3 linked regions of the Oryzias latipes genome follow. The protein of the gene in region 1 purifies or fractionates together with the protein of each later gene. This does not show direct contact. Links are inferred from orthologs where the notes say so. Each region holds a gene or a part of one and is shown in the gene's direction. Other genes may lie near its edges.

What was found. Proteins that work in one complex are often made in the same cells at the same time.
Region 2: the proteins of protein POLR1D (region 1) and polr2e purify together in Homo sapiens (affinity purification with mass spectrometry; 4 studies listed by BioGRID and IntAct, with this or other methods). This does not show direct contact. The link is inferred for Oryzias latipes from reciprocal best matches to the Homo sapiens genes POLR1D and POLR2E.
Region 3: the proteins of protein POLR1D (region 1) and polr3f purify together in Homo sapiens (affinity purification with mass spectrometry; 3 studies listed by BioGRID and IntAct, with this or other methods). This does not show direct contact. The link is inferred for Oryzias latipes from reciprocal best matches to the Homo sapiens genes POLR1D and POLR3F.

What each region holds. Positions count from the first base shown.
Region 1 is NC_019878.2:17,474,462-17,480,178, reverse strand, and holds protein POLR1D, read left to right. Parts: upstream 1-1,924; 5' UTR 1,925-1,982; exon of another isoform or gene 1,983-2,043; 5' UTR 2,044-2,063; coding exon 2,064-2,089; intron 2,090-2,538; coding exon 2,539-2,613; intron 2,614-3,998; coding exon 3,999-4,338; 3' UTR 4,339-4,828; downstream 4,829-5,717.
Region 2 is NC_019862.2:26,973,347-26,979,405, forward strand, and holds the start of polr2e (DNA-directed RNA polymerases I, II, and III subunit RPABC1), read left to right. Parts: upstream 1-2,644; 5' UTR 2,645-2,761; coding exon 2,762-2,818; intron 2,819-4,555; coding exon 4,556-4,730; intron 4,731-5,652; coding exon 5,653-5,768; intron 5,769-6,059. UniProt on the Homo sapiens protein: DNA-dependent RNA polymerase catalyzes the transcription of DNA into RNA using the four ribonucleoside triphosphates as substrates.
Region 3 is NC_019859.2:414,023-419,920, reverse strand, and holds polr3f (DNA-directed RNA polymerase III subunit RPC6), read left to right. Parts: upstream 1-2,483; 5' UTR 2,484-2,580; coding exon 2,581-2,642; intron 2,643-3,514; coding exon 3,515-3,632; intron 3,633-3,707; coding exon 3,708-3,775; intron 3,776-3,839; coding exon 3,840-3,907; intron 3,908-3,974; coding exon 3,975-4,087; intron 4,088-4,163; coding exon 4,164-4,307; intron 4,308-4,841; coding exon 4,842-4,949; intron 4,950-5,018; coding exon 5,019-5,210; intron 5,211-5,288; coding exon 5,289-5,366; 3' UTR 5,367-5,493; downstream 5,494-5,898. UniProt on the Homo sapiens protein: DNA-dependent RNA polymerase catalyzes the transcription of DNA into RNA using the four ribonucleoside triphosphates as substrates.

The sequences.
Region 1 (5,717 bases):
CCTCTGGAACTGATGCTGTTAGCGGACAGCAGAGGGCGTGCCTCTCCCCACAGCGGGCCAGCCAAGCCACAGTGACTACCTGCCTCTGTTCCAGCAAGGGTCTGCTCCTGTCTCCATGACGACCTGGATCCTGTTCTGTTCAGTGTGGTTTGACATTCACAGTGTAGCCAGAAAAGGATGCAGAGGAGGTGCACAACAGATGCACTTCTCCCAGCAGGACTCTGTGCTCCTCCACAGCAGAAGCTGAAAGCTTGTCAGACAATGATATATGAGTCCAATTTGTTGATTTTTTCCCCCCTTTTTTGTGTTTTTCTTTTTTTCAATCTCATCTGTGTAGTTATCCAGTTCTGATGCAACCTGTCTCCTCTGTCTCCTTAGCTACCAGGCCGGTAGTCACAGATTTCTGCCTCCTTCAAGTGCGTGCTCCTGTCTGTGTCTGACTGGCTGCTTCTGTCCCTATCCTGCAGCTGGACATGAATTTAACATGAGGACACAAGGCTTCTCTGTCTCTGTAACAAAGCTGTGACATCACCACATCACACACAGACTTGTAGACATGCACAAGCAAGAGCAAACAGAAACACACAAGGGCTTTTTTTAGGCAGAAGCCCCTGAAATCTCCTCATCAATAAATAACGCCTTCCGGTTTTAACAGTAAATGCATTTTTGAGTCAGGAAGCAGTTGAAAAACAATCTATTTTAGACAAAAGCCACGCTGGGCTGATTTTTTTTAATAAGTGAAGGCTTGCAGATGCGTGTGACACGTTCTTAATCCTTCTTGTCTGAGTTCAAAGCTGTACTTGCTCATCTTTTTATATTAGGATACCGGTCCTGCACTTGCTCTCATTTTCCCACAGATTACTATCTAATCTTGGGAGAACTAGGCAGCGGCATGCAGGAGTTTCCTTTTTAGAAGATCAAAAGACTCTATGGCACTCATTTAAAAACTCAGGTGTATCAGGCACCCAGGTATCAGATATTTTACAAAAACCTCATTTGGATGTCTTTCATCCTACAAATACTAAACACACAAAGACAGCACGAGAACTGATGTGAACATTATTATATATTTATTTTTTGCATGCATTAGTAATAATACAAAAACTGAGCCTGCTGTAAATTACATTTTCAATTATTATTGTCAATTTTCTGCATTTACCTTAATAACGCCCCATCTGCAAAGCAATTACTAAAATATATATATATATATATTTTTGATACCATCAATGTTTAGATAAGCCCTCCCCCCATCTCTCAAACCCCCCGTTCACTGTCTGAGTCCAACCCCCCCTAGGAGCGAAAAGGGAGGACAGAAGAGGCGACAATGGTAATAACAGAAAAAGCCAGCATCACACACACTGACGCCGCTTACAGTGAAAGGATGCAGATGTGATGTTACCTCTTCAGGCTGCTCCTCTGCGCCGCGCCCGGGCCTCGAAGAGGGGCGGGGGTGGCGGGACAATTAGCAGCTGCGGGACCTCAGTCACGCAGTCGCCGCAACGGACGGCCCGTTCCGCAAACCTGCACGAAAACGCCCCCGTCACTTTGGTGCCTGGTCCCGCCCACTGCTGTCCGTCAAAGAGACTGGGCGGAGTTTGCCGCTGTCAATCCACAAAAAAAAGAAAAAAAAAGTAGAGGTGGCTTCAATGTCGCCTGCCCAAAAACGTCCATTCAGCGGGAATTAAAATCTTTTAATATGTTTATGATTCCGATATGTTAGAGGTAATAACATAAACGGATAAAGCTTCGGGATCATACAGGGCATGGAATATTTTTTGTTTTTCAATGTGACAATTACAACTATTATTTTAGTAACTAAATTACTTTAGAATAAATGTTTGGGTTCTAAAAACGGCGTGAATTTTACAAAAATGCATTATTTATTTAAAAAAAAATGTTATGGTTTAACAATATAAAACAATGAAATGATCAGGCATCTTTTGGTCATAAAATCAGGTCCTCGAAAGAAGGACCTCGCAGAGGTAAATAAATCCCCTAACATGAGCCTGTAGAAATTTCCTGAAATAATTCTGCGTTTTAAAGTCTTTAGGTGGTCAGGCATAATGGCTGAAGATAATGAATTGGAAAAGTAAGTATTTTTTATTTTTAGATTATCATCGATTAACTTGTTTACGTTTGCTCGGTTAAACTAATACATCGGGGGAATGGTGTCTGGTACCACCAGATTAGGCTAGCATGTTTGCATAATGCATTTCTGTAGCTATGGGGTTATTTTGGTTAGGGGACGGAGTGTATCTTGTGTAGCAGTCAACACACTCTGCCTTTTGGCAATCAACAGCTGTTCTCACTACGTGCTATAAGATCGGCTGAATCAGAGAGAGCCCCCTGCGAGACTAATGCCTCAGCTGGTCGGGTTAAACGGGGACACCGCTGATGTCCCAATTACTTATGATTCACTTCCTCCGCGTCTCCTATTTTCTTCCTCGCTCGCACATAATTATATTAGTCTCCCCTTGAGCTTTTATGTCATCTTGGTCTTCTGTTGTTATCCGCATTTTTCTACGTCTTTTCCTCCAGACGGGCTATAGAGGAACTCCTCAAGGAGACAGACAGAGCCAGGGTGAGAGCTGAGACCATGGGCCCTGCAGGATGGTGAGTTATGGTTCTGAAATGTCATCCCTGACAGCCTCCACATAAAACGCCATGTAAAATCTTACTTCATAGGTTTAGCTGTTTTTTTTGGAGGCTTCTATTATTGTTGTATTTGTGTTTAACTAGTTTTCTATTATAGATAATTCGTCAGGTTCCCAAAGACACTTGTCTCTCTTGGCATCTAAAAGCACACACATATAGACTAAATTTATTATTAATATTTATTTATTGATTGTGTGTCTGTAGTGATTCTATGTCTAAAAAAAACGGTATAACCCTGTGAACTTTCCTGGAATTGAAAATATGCTTTCAGACATTTTTATTTTCTGGGCTGACGCTGATTTATCAAAACTATTTTTTTCTTCTTGATTTATTTCAGATGTGAGAGGTCAAAGCTAATGTTCTGAAGCTGTCATTCACTCGTCATTTAATGCAGTTACAAAAGTCACTTGAAAGGAGGGGACAAAAGGCAAATAAAATTTTTTTTTAAAAGACTGTCCATAATTATAATGTTACCTAACTTAAACTTTTCACATTTTTTTGTCTATCCCAAACATTTACATGACAACGTTCTCTGAAGTCTGCAAGGCTTGTCTTTTGTGTAACAATTACAGTTTGAGTTTTTTCACACTGTGTCGCATTTACAATCATAGATTTATCTTGGTAACCAATATTTGTTGACTGATCTGTATTAATTAGATCGACAAATGTTTGCAAGTATATTGTTGCACAATGATTTCTTTTGCATGAAATTATTTATTGACCTATTCACTTTTTGTGTATTTGATCTGTTTGATGGTTAATGGGTTTCTCTTTGGATCTCCCTTCATTGAGTCTCTTGAAATGATAAGATTTATTTGTGTATGTTTAACAGATCTTAAACAAATTTAGAAGGACTTTATTCTTTTTTGTGGGTTTCTAATGAAGAGGTTTATGTTATTTTGTTTTTTAGGTCTGGTCCAAAAAAACTACAGAATATTAAAAAAAAGTTGGTTTATGTAATTTCCAGAAAACTTGCACCTCTTATCACACTATTTAGTAGTAAATTAAAGAATGACCCAGTATTTTTAAGTGTTAGAAAACATGGAAAAACAGCACAATACCATAATGTTTTATTTTCATGTGGGAACCTAACAAAAAGTGAAATTATACAAAAAGCAGTAAGGTGAGCATCTAACTCCCAACTTAAAGCAAAGTCATGCCCTTAATAGTTGTCCTATAATTTAAATTGTACTCTGGAGACAATTTGTCCTTTAATGGAAACGACTATACATCTGTCAGATATACTGATCAGATAACTGTCGCTTTTCACATTAGACTTTAGATTAAAAAAAAAACCTTAATTCTGAATTTTTAAGTGGTTGTGTTGTCTTCTTCTCTGTCAGGTTGAAATGTCCCCTGCAGAGCACCAACAAACGCTTTCTCCTCAACACTCTGCGCTCTACCGGCCTGCAGCGGCGAAACGATGAGCAGAGAACCGCAGACTCCAAAACAAGAGACCGCCTGACCCACAAGTCCCGTGACAGACGGTGTGACCGCAGCAGAACACCTCCGACAGACCACAGGAGTAATGGACGCCACAAAGACCATAAACATCACACCCGTTCAAACCGAGATAAGGAACTGGACAAAGATAAGAACAAATCTGACAGACACGGGGACAACAGCAGAGACAGGAAGCATGCCGATGGACCAAACGGAGACAGAAAAAGAAGTTCTTCATGAATGAACTTGCTGTGTTTTAAAGGTAGCCTTGATGCTCTACTGAAAAATTAATTGGCTGGAGGAGTATGGCTGACTTGAAATAGTTCTGTAGAGCCCTCTCACCCTCACAGAGACCCAGACAGACTAGAAGGACCTCTGCTGATCACAACGAATTGTACAGTGACAGAATATACAATTTGTATTACAGCTTTTGAATGAATGAATGAAGAGAGTAAAAGGAAATAAATATTTTGTGTTTTCAGGCATGAATAATTGATCCTCTTACAGTTCTAACATGAATCTTTATGCACCAGAACGAAACATCAAATATACTTTTTAGGATATAATCTAAAAATCATATCAAAGCTAATATTTGTTTTATCATGTTCCACTTTGTAAAGGTGGCTGTAGCTCCATTATAATGTCATTAACCATTCTTTTGTGGTTATCCACCACTGGTGTTTATATAAGCCATGCTGCTGTCGCCAAAGAGTAAACAAATTTTATATCCTGTCTAATGTTTTGAAATGTGCACAGCAGCTATCAGAACCGCTCTTGTTTTTCAAAGGAGAAAAGTGGTTTCCTTACACTCCCAGTCCCCGTGAAGACACAGTACGACTGTTATAGCTATGAATAAAAAGAAAAGATGAGAATTCCATCTTCCTGGACATCTACTTTAGCCGAAGGTGATGTTGTAACTTCACTATAGCTCTTGTTTTTGAGTCATTTTCAGGTTTTATTGTTCTCAAAGCTTTTTTTTTTTAACGCCTCGATTACAACCAGTTAGACCATTTCTCCCTCTGCTCACAAAAAGGTCTATAAGTTCTCTAAAAACATTTCATAGTCATGCTTCATAAATCACGCAGTCCATCTCCACTGTAGTAGAGTCTAGTCCTGGTTAACTGTTTCCTTCCTCTTTGCAACAATGATCAAATACCATTAAGCCATATCAGGCGACTCTTTAGCGCAGAATTGGTTTGCTTGAACTTTATTGCATTGCTGAGTGCTGCATTAGGATACCATGAAAAGCGCCATCATTGCTTTTGAGGATCCAAAAAGCAAATAGTTGATAATGTTCAGCTGTAGCTAAGCTCAGGGCCTTCCTACGCTTGGATTAGGAGAAATTGTATACGTCTCAAAGTGTTGCGTAAAGTTCCAGGTGCGCTCTGGGGGATGCGCGCTCCACGTCGTTTAATTGAGTTCAGTCACGCTCTCCAACTTAATTGACACACTAGGAGAGCTGTTGTTTAATGGGGCGGACACTCACGACCGCCAGAGGCTAATGGCCAGCAAACATGGAGAGTACAGCGGGAGAGGCTGTTCGTTGTTGCTAAGGGCCCTTCGCGCGGTGACCGCCCCAAGGCGCGCAAATTTGAGTTAAATGATGCATTTCTGAAAGT
Region 2 (6,059 bases), on another chromosome or scaffold:
TGAGAGGCAAACATGCAGCCAAAGGAAATGAACAAACTGCAACTATGACTCTGCAAAAGATTAGGACTTTTGAAAAAAGCACAACTGCTTTTTACATAAATTTACATCATAAATTTCAACCTCAAATCCACATTTCATCCTTTCTATACCCTGATTTGTAAAGTACACCCAAAGCTTTATTAAAACGAATGCAACAATTATGAAAGAAAGTTGGAAATTTGATCTCTTGGGATATTTTACCTTCACAAACACAATTTTAGACGACAAAACATAAATACCTGATTCCCAAACTGGTTGGATGGGAAAGCGAGGATGCGTAAACCTCTCTCAGCATACGCGGCGTGCATCTTTGCAAACTGAGAGTAGTTTACTACGGTTTTGCCTCATTTGGAGGCGACGTTGGTGATGATGACAACGTTCCCCCTGAAAAACACACACAACGGGAAAATGGATGATCGTCGTTTTACCAGAAGAGCAAAACGAGAAAGAATTGATCTCAAATACCTGTATTTTTCCAAGGAAACCAAGTTGCCATCGATGTCTGTTGCATTGAAATCGTAAATAGATGTGGCCCTCTGCCAGTCCTCTGTCGGAGTGGACTGTTGGTTAAAGGTAAACATTGTTTTAAAGGCATAAAAATGTCAATCTGGGTGAAAATCAGCACAAAAATAAACAAAAATATACCAGACATGACATAAAACATAAGAAAAAATGAACAAATCCATTCTATAAAAACACAAAACAAAAGCAGAGCTGGCAAAGTTAGGTTCCAGTCCAATGCAGCTCCTGTCATTTCTTACCATAACCTGCAGCAGGACAGAGAAAAGCACTGTACAGCCTGTCAGGAGCATGGCTGCCCTTCAGTTCGCCTCTATAAAGGCAGAAAACAATCCGATCTCTGATTCCCCCTCCCCGCGACTCTGGCTTTATACGCAAAAAGCACACGTTGCAGTGTCCTCACAGAGAAAACATGTGATCTGTAACGCAGCTGATAGGATGGGATTGTCCAGCACTTCCTACTTTCCTGCTGGCAATTAAAGCCTGCAGATCAAAAACACCTTTGTACTGCGGTCCACAGTTCACAGCATTGACATAATCTCAAGACAACCTGAGCCATTTGCCCAGGCAAAGGAAACAAAAACACATTGTGTCAAATGATTAAAACTAATAGGGAAAAGAATCTAATCCCAGAAAAAAAGAGATCTTAAATGTACTGATTTGATCAACAAACCACGACAGGAAATAAGAAACTTCACGATTTATCAGTCATTGTGTTTGTTTTGAACTGTTCTTCTGAGCTGTCTTGGTATTTAGACTCATATAAAAACCTAAATGGAATTTAGCAATGTGTTCTTAAATGGCAAAACATACAAAATGTGAAGGTAAATGTAAAAAAAATAAAAAAGTAAGGCAGAGGTTTTTTACGTCATACAAAAAAAAACATCTAAAATGTTGACACTGTGATATGTTTATCAGCTGGTGCCAGTGAACAGACGGAGTGAAGGATGCTGGCGCTGCTCCAGCGTTTGTGACTATAGTCTGTTCTGTTCCGGACTGTTCGGAACCATCCAGAACTCGCTGGCTAACAAATATAAGAGGTTTATGAGCTTATGGAGAAATCTCCTTACGAGGTGTTAAGCAGAACGATGACAAAAACACAACAATAACAGGAGACATGCCTACGTATGCATAGACATGTAATAATACATGTACTCCAATGGAAACGCATGCACTGTGCTAGGCTATGCAATCAGGTTATAGAGAAGAAATACTTTACCGTGGTGGACAAAACAAAGTACAGTACCATCGCCAGCAGTGCTCCGCTGCTCGCTATAGCCCCAACTGTCAACATAACAATTAATGGCCTCATTTTTGACAGCGACTTAAATAAAAATAATAATAAAAAGGCCCCAGTTATCGGAAAAAATCTATTTTGTTCATTGTAAGCGCACGTGACTCATTTCCACCCAGTGTTGTGAAACTCAAGTGGGTGGAGTCAAATGCTTGACAAGACAAGGAGGAAATGACGTATGAGGTTTTTCAAAACAAAAATAAAAATAAAATATAGGTCAAAACGTTCAAAAAAAGGGGGGGGGGTAGGAGATAGAGGTGCACGATATGAGGAAACTCGCGTTCTGCGATATCAATGATCAATATTGCGATGACGATATAACTAGCGATACATGAACAAATAGCAAAACAGCCAAAAGACAGTTTCTATTTCACTGCAACAGTTTAATTTAAAGAAGAGTCAAGATGACGTACTTAAATTATACTCAATGACCCTCGTCTACATTCTAAGATTTTATCTATTTTTATAGATAAAATGTGTCATAATTAAAACATAGAAGGTGATATATTTATTTATTATTAGCAAAATATACTAAGCTTTTTTAAAACCTAAATTCAGTCAGTAAAAAATAAATTTAGAAAGAGATTTTTAATTCTGAAGCAAATTTTTATTTTAATTTATTTTTTTTACCATAAGTAAATTGTCTTCAGATTTACATTTCCAATTAGCCGAAGTTAAAAAAAAATACCGAATAATTAAGAACATTTTATGAAGACTTAATAAATTCGCTCTGAAGATAATAACCTGGAGGACTTTTCTTTAAGAACAGTTTTTTTAAACGTCAACTCGATCAAACGCAATGCATTGTGGTATATAATATTGGCCAAGCCAGGAACCATCGATGCCATCGGATTTTTAGAAGAATATTAGTGATTTAAAAATACGAAAAGGAGAATAAATTGAGAAAGGATGGACGATGAAGAGGAAACTTACCGGCTGTGGAAGATCCGTAAAACAATAATGCAGGTGGATTAAATAAAAGGATATACTAGCTTAGCAGCGAACTAGCTGTTAGCTTCACATGTGGCTCGCGTTAAAGAGTCGCTTTTGACTGCCATTGTTAAAGTTGTAACTAAATCTTTTACGTTTTGTGTGTTAATCTCTTATTCTCAGTGCAAGTCGTTCCAATTACGCGCTCAGACTTTTTTTTTTAATTATTATGTGTAGGAATGATGCATTCGTTAGCCTCGTTTGAACGAAGGCTAACTTTAGCACACCCATGATGACCCATTAAAAAAAGCCAACATGTTTTCGTACATGTAGACTACATGTATGACAACATGAATGCTTCAAATCATTAAATACACTTTCACAAAGTTTGCTGCTAAACTGCTTTTAGATTTTTGTTTCTGTGATGTACTGAAATATAGTTATCAGCTCTTTATTACGTTTAGGCTTTTTTTAATCGACAATAATTATATGACATTTATGCAGAGAGTCAGGTTTTGCAGTGTTGGACTTCCTTTGTCAGCACCCCTGCAATTCGACTGGGCATGCTGTCAATCAACTTTAGGGCCAAATCCTGACCGATAGCAACCCAGATTGATTAAGATCTGGGGAGTTTCCAGGCCGTGGACCCAAAATGTCAACATTTTGGTCCCCGATCCACTTAGTTATCACTTTTGCCTCATGGCACGGTGCGCCATCGTGCTGGAAAATACATTGTTTGACGCCAAACTGTTGTTGGATTGCTGGAAGAAGTTGCTGTTGGAGGGAGTTTTGGCACCATTCTTTATTCATGGCTGTGGTTTTGGAGAAAAATGCGAATGAGCCCACTTCCTTGGATGAGAAGCAACCCCACACATCAAGGGTCTCAGGATGCTTTACTGTTGGCACGACACGGGACAGGTGGTAGCTCTCACCTTTTCTTCTCCGGACAAGCCTTTGTCCAGATGCCCCAAACAATCGGATAGAGGCTTCATGGGAGAATAGGACTTTGCCCCAGTCCCCAGCAGTCCACTCGCCATACTTTTTGCAGAAGATCAATCTGTCCCTGATGTTTGTTTTTGGGGTGGATAAGTGGCCATCTTCTAAAAGTCTCCGCCTCACTGTGCATGCAAATGCGCTCACACCAGCCTGTTGCCATTCCTGAGCAAACTCTGCACTGGTGGCGCTCCGATCCCACAGTTAAAACCCATTAGGAGACGATTCTTGGCACTTGCTGGACTTTCTTGGACGCTCTGAAACCTTGTTAACAAGAATTGAACCTCTTTCCTTGAAGTTTTTGATGATCCTATAAATTGTTGATTTAGGTGCAATCTTAGCTGCCACAATATCCTCGCCTGTGAAGCCATTCTTATGCAACGCGATGATGGCTGCACACGTTTCTTTGCCGGTCAGCATGGTTAACAGTGGCAGAACAATGATTTCAAGCATCACCCTCCTTTTAACATGTCAAGTCTGCCATTCTAACCCAACCGGCCTGACATCATGATCTCCAGTCTTGTGCTCGTCAACATTCTCAACTGAGTTAAAAAGACGATGACTGAAATGATTTTTGGGGGGGGGATTCATTTAATTTTCATGGCAAAGAAGGACTACGCAATTCATCTGATGACTCTTTGTAACATTTTGGAGAACATGCAAATTGCTATTATAAAATCCTAGGCAGCAACTTTTGCAATTTCCAATATTTATGTAATTCTCAAAACCTTTGGCCAACACTATACATATTAAAATGTTGTTTGTTTTTTTTAACCACAGCTCTGCCACGATCGAGGCTATCTGGTAACACAAGATGAGTTGGACCAGACCCTGGAGGAGTTCAAGAGTCAATTCGGAGACAAACCCAGCGAGGGTCGTCCCAGACGGACGGACCTTACAGTCTTGGTCGCACACAACGATGATCCCACTGATCAAATGTTTGTTTTCTTTCCTGGTAGGTTTATACTTGAGAATAATTTGGGAACTCATCCTTTTATCCATAAAATAACCAAAAGTTTAAGTTACACTCCAATCATATTTCGATTTATTTTTAAAGGAGTCCCCAGTGGTATTATATTTATGAATGCTCTGTTTTTAGCCAAATTCATAAAAACCTGTGTGGGCATCACTGTTGGCACGGACGTAAGCCCCTGCTGATATCCCATCATCCCTTTTTTGTTTACACACTCTCCCATTAGATTACATTGACTTTATTAGAGAATTGAGCCATGGTGACGTCGCCTTTCTTCCGGCTCCAGAGAAATGAAGCCAATAGACCCTTTTCATGGTGACGTCAGACAAAACAGAGACATGGGCGCCATTGTGTCACCGTACTTCTGGTTTTAGACGAGCAAAGCTGACAACTGAACGCTGTTTAACACCATTCTATGAGAAGAATACACACTAACCTTACCAATCGCAACGGCACTTTTTACATGATTTATTTTATAAATGTCATATCCAACTGTAGTCAATTTCCTCTTTTAAATCTTTCACAAGTCAAAATACAAATTTAAGTAATCCATCAATATTTAAGGTTCAGTTGAAAATATCAACCTTTCATTTGAGTCTAACAGGTTATATTTTTTTACAGTTTCCTATTCTTTTTATCATTTTTCTTTTTCGCAGATCAGACACAGTTATTGGCAATAGCAAAGAGGTTCAGTGTTAGAAAATATTGCAACCGTAATTAGTTGTACTTTAATATAAGACACACTGGAACTGTCTTCAATTCTGTCATATTTGTCCTCCATATTAAAAAAACACCGTTTTCACCGGGGTGGCTCATCAAACATGGGAGCAGCGAATGTATTTACATTTCTGAACAAGCCTAATAAAGCTTTATTCAAAATGATTCTTTTTCTATTCTGGATTAGAGGAACCCAAGGTCGGGATCAAGACAATCAAGATGTACTGTCAAAGGATGCAGGAGGAGAACATTACTCGAGCCATCATCGTGGTTCAGATGGGCATGACACCCTCAGCTAAGCAGGTATGTGTAATCATTTAAAACTAAGGCTGGGTATCGTTGCTAAAGTTTACATACTGGAACGGTTCCTGATCATTACATTGTTGGATACTGATTCAAAAAAATATTTTTATAACACATTCTTCAGAAATGTTTTATCTTATTTTGAAAGTAATGACTTATCTCTAACCAGTGTACACACAAAAAAAGCACAATGGGCACAAAGTGAAATCAACACAACATATCTGTACACACAGACTGCTAAATAACTTGATATATTTGAGGCTCACTATATATAAGTATCAAAATTTGGTA
Region 3 (5,898 bases), on another chromosome or scaffold:
TGAAAACTTTGAAGCAGAAATCACTATGGAAGAAGCAGAAAAAGCCATGAGAGGTTTAGCTGTAGTTAAATCTCCAGGATCTGATGGGCTGACTGTGAACTTTGACAGACATTTCTGGAAACACTTGAAAGAGCAGTTTCTGTTGGTCATAAAGGAAATGATCCTTCCAACCGCCATGAAGCCGGGCGCCGTCACCCGATTCCTAAAGCTGGAAAAGACGCCAGACTGATGGATCATTTCAGACCAACATCCCTCCTCTACAGTGATTAGAAAATCATAACCAACATTTCTGCATCTGGATTAAAAACAGGACTGAATCAGATCATCTCAGACACACAATCAGGGTTTTTAAAGACGATCAATTCACAATAATATCCGGTTAGTTCTGGATCTGATTGACTATAATCAGTTCATTGAAGATGATGGCTTCATTTTATTTTTAGACGTCTTGAACACAAATTTATGTTTCAGACTTTAGAATTATTTGGATTTGGACCTAATTTTATAAGTTTTGTTCAAACAATCTATAATGATACAAACAGTGTCGTTATTTTACCAAACGGCATTTTTCCCAGGTTTTTAATTAACAAAGGAATTTGTTAGAATAGATAGAATCTCACCATTACTTTTTATAACAGCAACAGAAATGTTATCAATACTTCTAAATAACTCTGGTTTCTGTAAACTCAATGTTCTGGGAGAACAGCTAGCCATCACTCAGCTGGCAGACGACACGCCCACATTCATGAAGGACAGTCATCAAACACCTGACATCATTCAGAACCTGGATTTCTTCTCTAAAGAATCTGGTTTCAAACTGAATCTCAGCAAATGTGAATTGTTGCCAGTTCTCCATTCTGATCAGTCAGTCCTTCATAACATTCCTGTTAGGACTGCTGTGAAATATATTTAGTTCAGATCACCAAAGACAGTAAAACTATGGAGGAAATGAACTTATGGAAAACTTTAGAAAAATGTAAGTTAATGTAAACATCTGGTCACAGCGAGACATTTCTATTCAGAGTGTTTCTCACTAAATTAGAATGTTGATCCAGATTCATTTATCCAGCATAGGAAAGCAATAAACCCGAACAATTTCAACTTCATCTGGAAAAACAAAATTAATTCCATAAAAAAAGAACAATAATTCAGGATTACAGTGAAGGTGGACTTAAAGCCTCAGACTTTGAAAGTTTGGATGGTATGATTCAAATAAATTGGCTTAAGTCTTTTCTGCAAAATGGGAGAAATATTTGGTTTCATATTCCCTCAAACATCTTTTCTCATCTAGGGGGTATTGAGTTGCTTCTAAAATGTGATTTTGATTACAGAAAACTTCCTATTAAACTTTCTACTCATCATCAGCAGCTGTTACTGTATGGAAACTCCTCTACAAACATAACTGTAGTTCACACAATACTCCATATGGAACTGTTGGGATATTTTATGTAGGAACAAATCAATATTTTACAAACATTGGATTGATGACAGTATTTGGTCATTAATACATATTATGAATGACAATGGAAACATTATCTCATTTGAAACTTTTTCCAGTAAATTTAAATTAAATGATAGAAAATAATATAATAATGTGATCAAAGCCTCAGACTTTGGTCCAAATGTCCTCCAGTCTGGTTCATGATGATCAAGTTCAGCTTCCCTCTCTGTTGTTTGATGGTCGACCGGTTAATTCAAAACTTCCAAACTCATTTATACGATCTTTATTTGTTAGAGCCGTCCTGTTTCCAACATTAGACATAAATCATTCTATGTCACAGCTTTACACAAGAGAGGAAATAAGCAAGTTGAGGTCTCAGTTCATTAAATATCCAATTTTCCCAAAATACAAAGAAATCCATTTTAAAATAATGAATGCAGTCTATCCATGCAAAGAACTGTTACACATACGTTTAGGTTTTCCAGAGAATAACTGTTCTTTTTGTGATATAAATATTGAAACACTTGATCATTTGTTTTTTGAATGTATGTATGTTTACAGTTTTTGGGAGGATTTCTTTTTTTGGTGCTCTTCAAAGTTTCCCTTTCCTATTTCTATTCACTTACAAAAGCACATTATATTATTTGGAGTAGTTTCTGGTGATAATCTATTTGATTTGACATTCAATACCTTATTAATATCTGGGAAATTTTTCATTCACAAGTGCAGATTTGTAAAAACGAAACCATTATTTAATACATTTCTTAAAGAAATCAGTTTATATTTTAAATCTCTGACATTGATGAAAAACAAAAATGCAATAAAACTGTGTGTTTTCATTGAAGATCACATGCTGTATGACAATCCCTAGTGTTGTAAACTATAATTCTATATATTTTGTTTTATTTATTTACTTATTTTCTTTTTCTCTCTTTTTTGTATGTTGTTATTATGTGTATGTTTAAAGTTCAAATAAACAAAATTAAAAAAAAACAAAAAAAAACGTGAACGGACATCACGTGCTCTGATGACGTCACACAGGACCGAGCCTCTCCCGCCGCTGGGGGGCGGTAACGCTCCGGTCTCCGTGGTTCCCCCAGAAGAAGAAGCGGCGTCACCGGCAGCAGCGGACCGGGGAGATGGCGGAGGTTCGGGTAAAGAAAGAGACGAACCTGGCGGAACCTGCAGAGGTGGAGACCAGGTTCGGACCTCACGATTCTGCCGCGTGCCGGTCCATGACCGAAGCGCGTGCATTTCATCTACGAGCAGCTCCTTGGCTTGTTTCATGCGCGCGTGTCTTAAGTTCAGAAACGGTTCTGGTTCCGGAGGCTACTCTAAACCGAACCTCAGCAGGCTTCTAAGACCGAAACCACTTTGTCTGGTTCCAGAGGTTCGAATCGGGAGACCGACTCAGCTCACGCTCAGGTGGTTTTAGAACCGAGTCCAGTTCTGAAGGTTTTAGATCTGAGTAAACCTCCGAAGACTTCAGAACCGAGTGCAGGTCTGAAGACATTAGACTCGAGTCACTCGGGTCTAATGTCTTCATAACTGGACTCGGACTCGAGTCCCGTGAGTTCAGGTCTAAAGACTAAAGGAACCGAGTCCATCCAGGTCTGAAGACTTCAGAACTGAGTCCCGGTATGAAGGTTTTAGATCCGAGTCCAGGTCTGAAGACTTTAGAACCGAGTTCAGTTCTGCAGACTTTAGAACCGAGTCCCGGTATGAAGGTTTTAGATCCGAGTCCTGGTTTGAAGGTCCAGGTCCGAGGACTATCGCTGCAGCTGTTGGATGTTCTGGATGTTGTTCAGAGAACACGCGGATGGGTCAGACGGATTCTAGAGTTCAGGCGGTCTTTGGACCATTTCTGAAGATCCAACGTGACGTTCTGAACGGACCAGAAACACTAGAACCTCCGTCTTGGAGAGGTCCATCTGAAGATGTTCCTTTTTGTTCCAACTGGAGATGAGACCCAAGCTGACACAGGGTTTATTATGGGATGTCTGATCTTTGGAGCGACTGGACCTTGTGGTTCTGATCCAGGAACTTCAGCTCTGAACGCCTGTGTGTCTCCAGGATCAGAGAGCTGTGTCAGCAGTTCCCTCAGGGAATCACAGACCAGGTGATCCAGAACGACATGCCTCACCTGGAGCCGCAGCAGAGGGCCCTGGCCATCAACAAGCTGCTGTCCCTGGTTAGTCCGGTTCTGAACAACCCAATCCATTCTTCAGCGCAGAGGGGTTCTAACGTAACCTGGTGTTTGTTCCAGGGCCAGCTGGACTTGCTCAGGAACAGTTCTGGTCTTCTGTACAGATTAAAAGATTCTCAGACAGCCAGGTGAGCAGCGTTCCATCTGCAGGTTCTGGTTCTGTCCACCGTGAACCCCAATCCTCTGTTTCAGTAAGATGAAGGGCTCGGACAACCAGGAGAAGCTGGTTTACCAGATCATCGAGGATGCCGGAAACAAAGGTGAGCTCTGTCTGCCTCCTTCCAGAAGGTACCGCGGGTCAGAACCTCCCAGATGTTCTGTTCGCAGGAATCTGGAGCAGAGACATCCGCTTCAAGAGCAACCTCCCTCTGACCGAGATCAACAAGATCCTGAAGAACCTGGAGAGCAAGAAGCTCATCAAAGCCGTCAAATCTGTGGCCGTGAGTTCAGAACCGAGCCGGTCCAGACGTGCTTGTGGCCGCCGGCAGTCCTGAACTCTGCTCGTCTGCCACGCAGGCGTCCAAGAAGAAGGTCTACATGCTGTACAACGTGCAGCCGGACCGCTCCGTCACCGGAGGGGCCTGGTACAGCGACCAGGACTTTGAGTCCGAGTTCGTGGAGGTTCTGAACCAGCAGTGCTTCAAGTTCCTGCAGAGCAAGGTATGGAGAACCCAAATGTACGGAACACCAAACCAATGGGTCACAAAGGTCAGAGGTCAGCTGTAGAGCTACGTTTACACCGGGAAACGCGTTCAAGGGACCGCTTTGAGTCCAAAGTCTACGGGAACGCGTCTACGCTTCCGCCTCCAAACTCTACAAAAAGCGCCGCCATTGAACGTGAAACCAGTTGAACTTTGACCAATCAGGGACTCTGAGTTGGTTGCGACGTATGATGGCGTCAAAGCAGAAGTACCAACGACTGAAACTTGATCAGAAAGGACAAAGTAATAACTGCGGTTTGTGTCGACGCCAAGTCTATGATGGATCAGAATCGAGCTGTGAACAAAAGACTCACCAGATTTGGACGTTTCCCACCGAGTCGTCCAACCGCAGGAGACGGCGCCGGGTAGCCACAGTCCAGAATGAACGCCGTAGGCGAGCAAAGGTTCTGTGGTCTTCAACGCGCATCACGTGTGTGAACGTAGCACCAGGCTGAGGGGCCCACCCCTCACCCCCACTCACCCCTGTGTGCAGGCGGAGGCGGCGCGGGGCGGCCAGCAGAGCCCCATGGTTCAGAGGAACAGCTCCTTCGCCACGTCTCACGAAGTCTGGAAGTACATCAGCGAGTTGGGCATCAGCAAGGTGGCCCCGCCGTGACCTCACAGCCCCTCCCAACAGCTGCAGCTGTTCTCACAGGTGTCCCGTGTGCAGGTGGACCTGTCCATGGACGACATCGAGACCATCCTGAACACGCTGATCTACGACGGGAAGGTGGAGATGACCGTGATCGCCGCCAAGGAGGGGACGGTGGGCAGCGTGGACGGACAGATGAAGCTGTACCGCGGCGTGAACGCCGTGCTGCCGCCGGCGGGCCTGGTGAAGACGCCCTGCGGCCTGTGCCCGGTAAGCCGCGCTCCGACGCCCCCTGCTGCCGCTCCGGCTGCGGCACTCACCCCCCCCCCCCCCCCAATCTCTCTGCAGGTGTTTGACGACTGTCACGAAGGGGGGGAGATCTCGCCATCCACCTGCATCTACATGACAGAGTGGCTGGAGTTCTGACTCCGCCCATGGAACCCCGCCCCTTTCCTCCATGGAGCCACGCCCCTTTCCTCCATGGAACCCCGCCCCTTTCCTTTGGTTACGTCTGATTTAAGTTAATAAAGTTTTACTGTTGTGTGAAAAGCGACTCATGAATTCTGACTGAAGTGATTTTGAAGAAAGATCTTTTTTCAGATTTCCCATCAAGAGCGGCCAAAGGCCCCGCCCACAAGCTGTGTAACGTCATCCATGCTCGTTATAAACAGGAAATGGAAAAGATCCTTAAAACCAAGGGTCCCCAAACGATGGCCCGCCCCCCCATTAGACCCGGCCCCCTGAACGATACCAGAGAGAACCAGTTTATTATTATTGAAGCGTAGAAAACAGAATCAATAAAACTTGGAACAGAAAATGACAATAAGGGAAAGAATGCAGGATTTGAACCAGAGCGCTGACCACTGCTCCACCATGCCGCCTCCCAGGAGGAATTTAGCATTTGGATTCTGCGTATAGGGACTGCGGTTCTGAGATGGATCCGGTTTCCTGGAGCGGC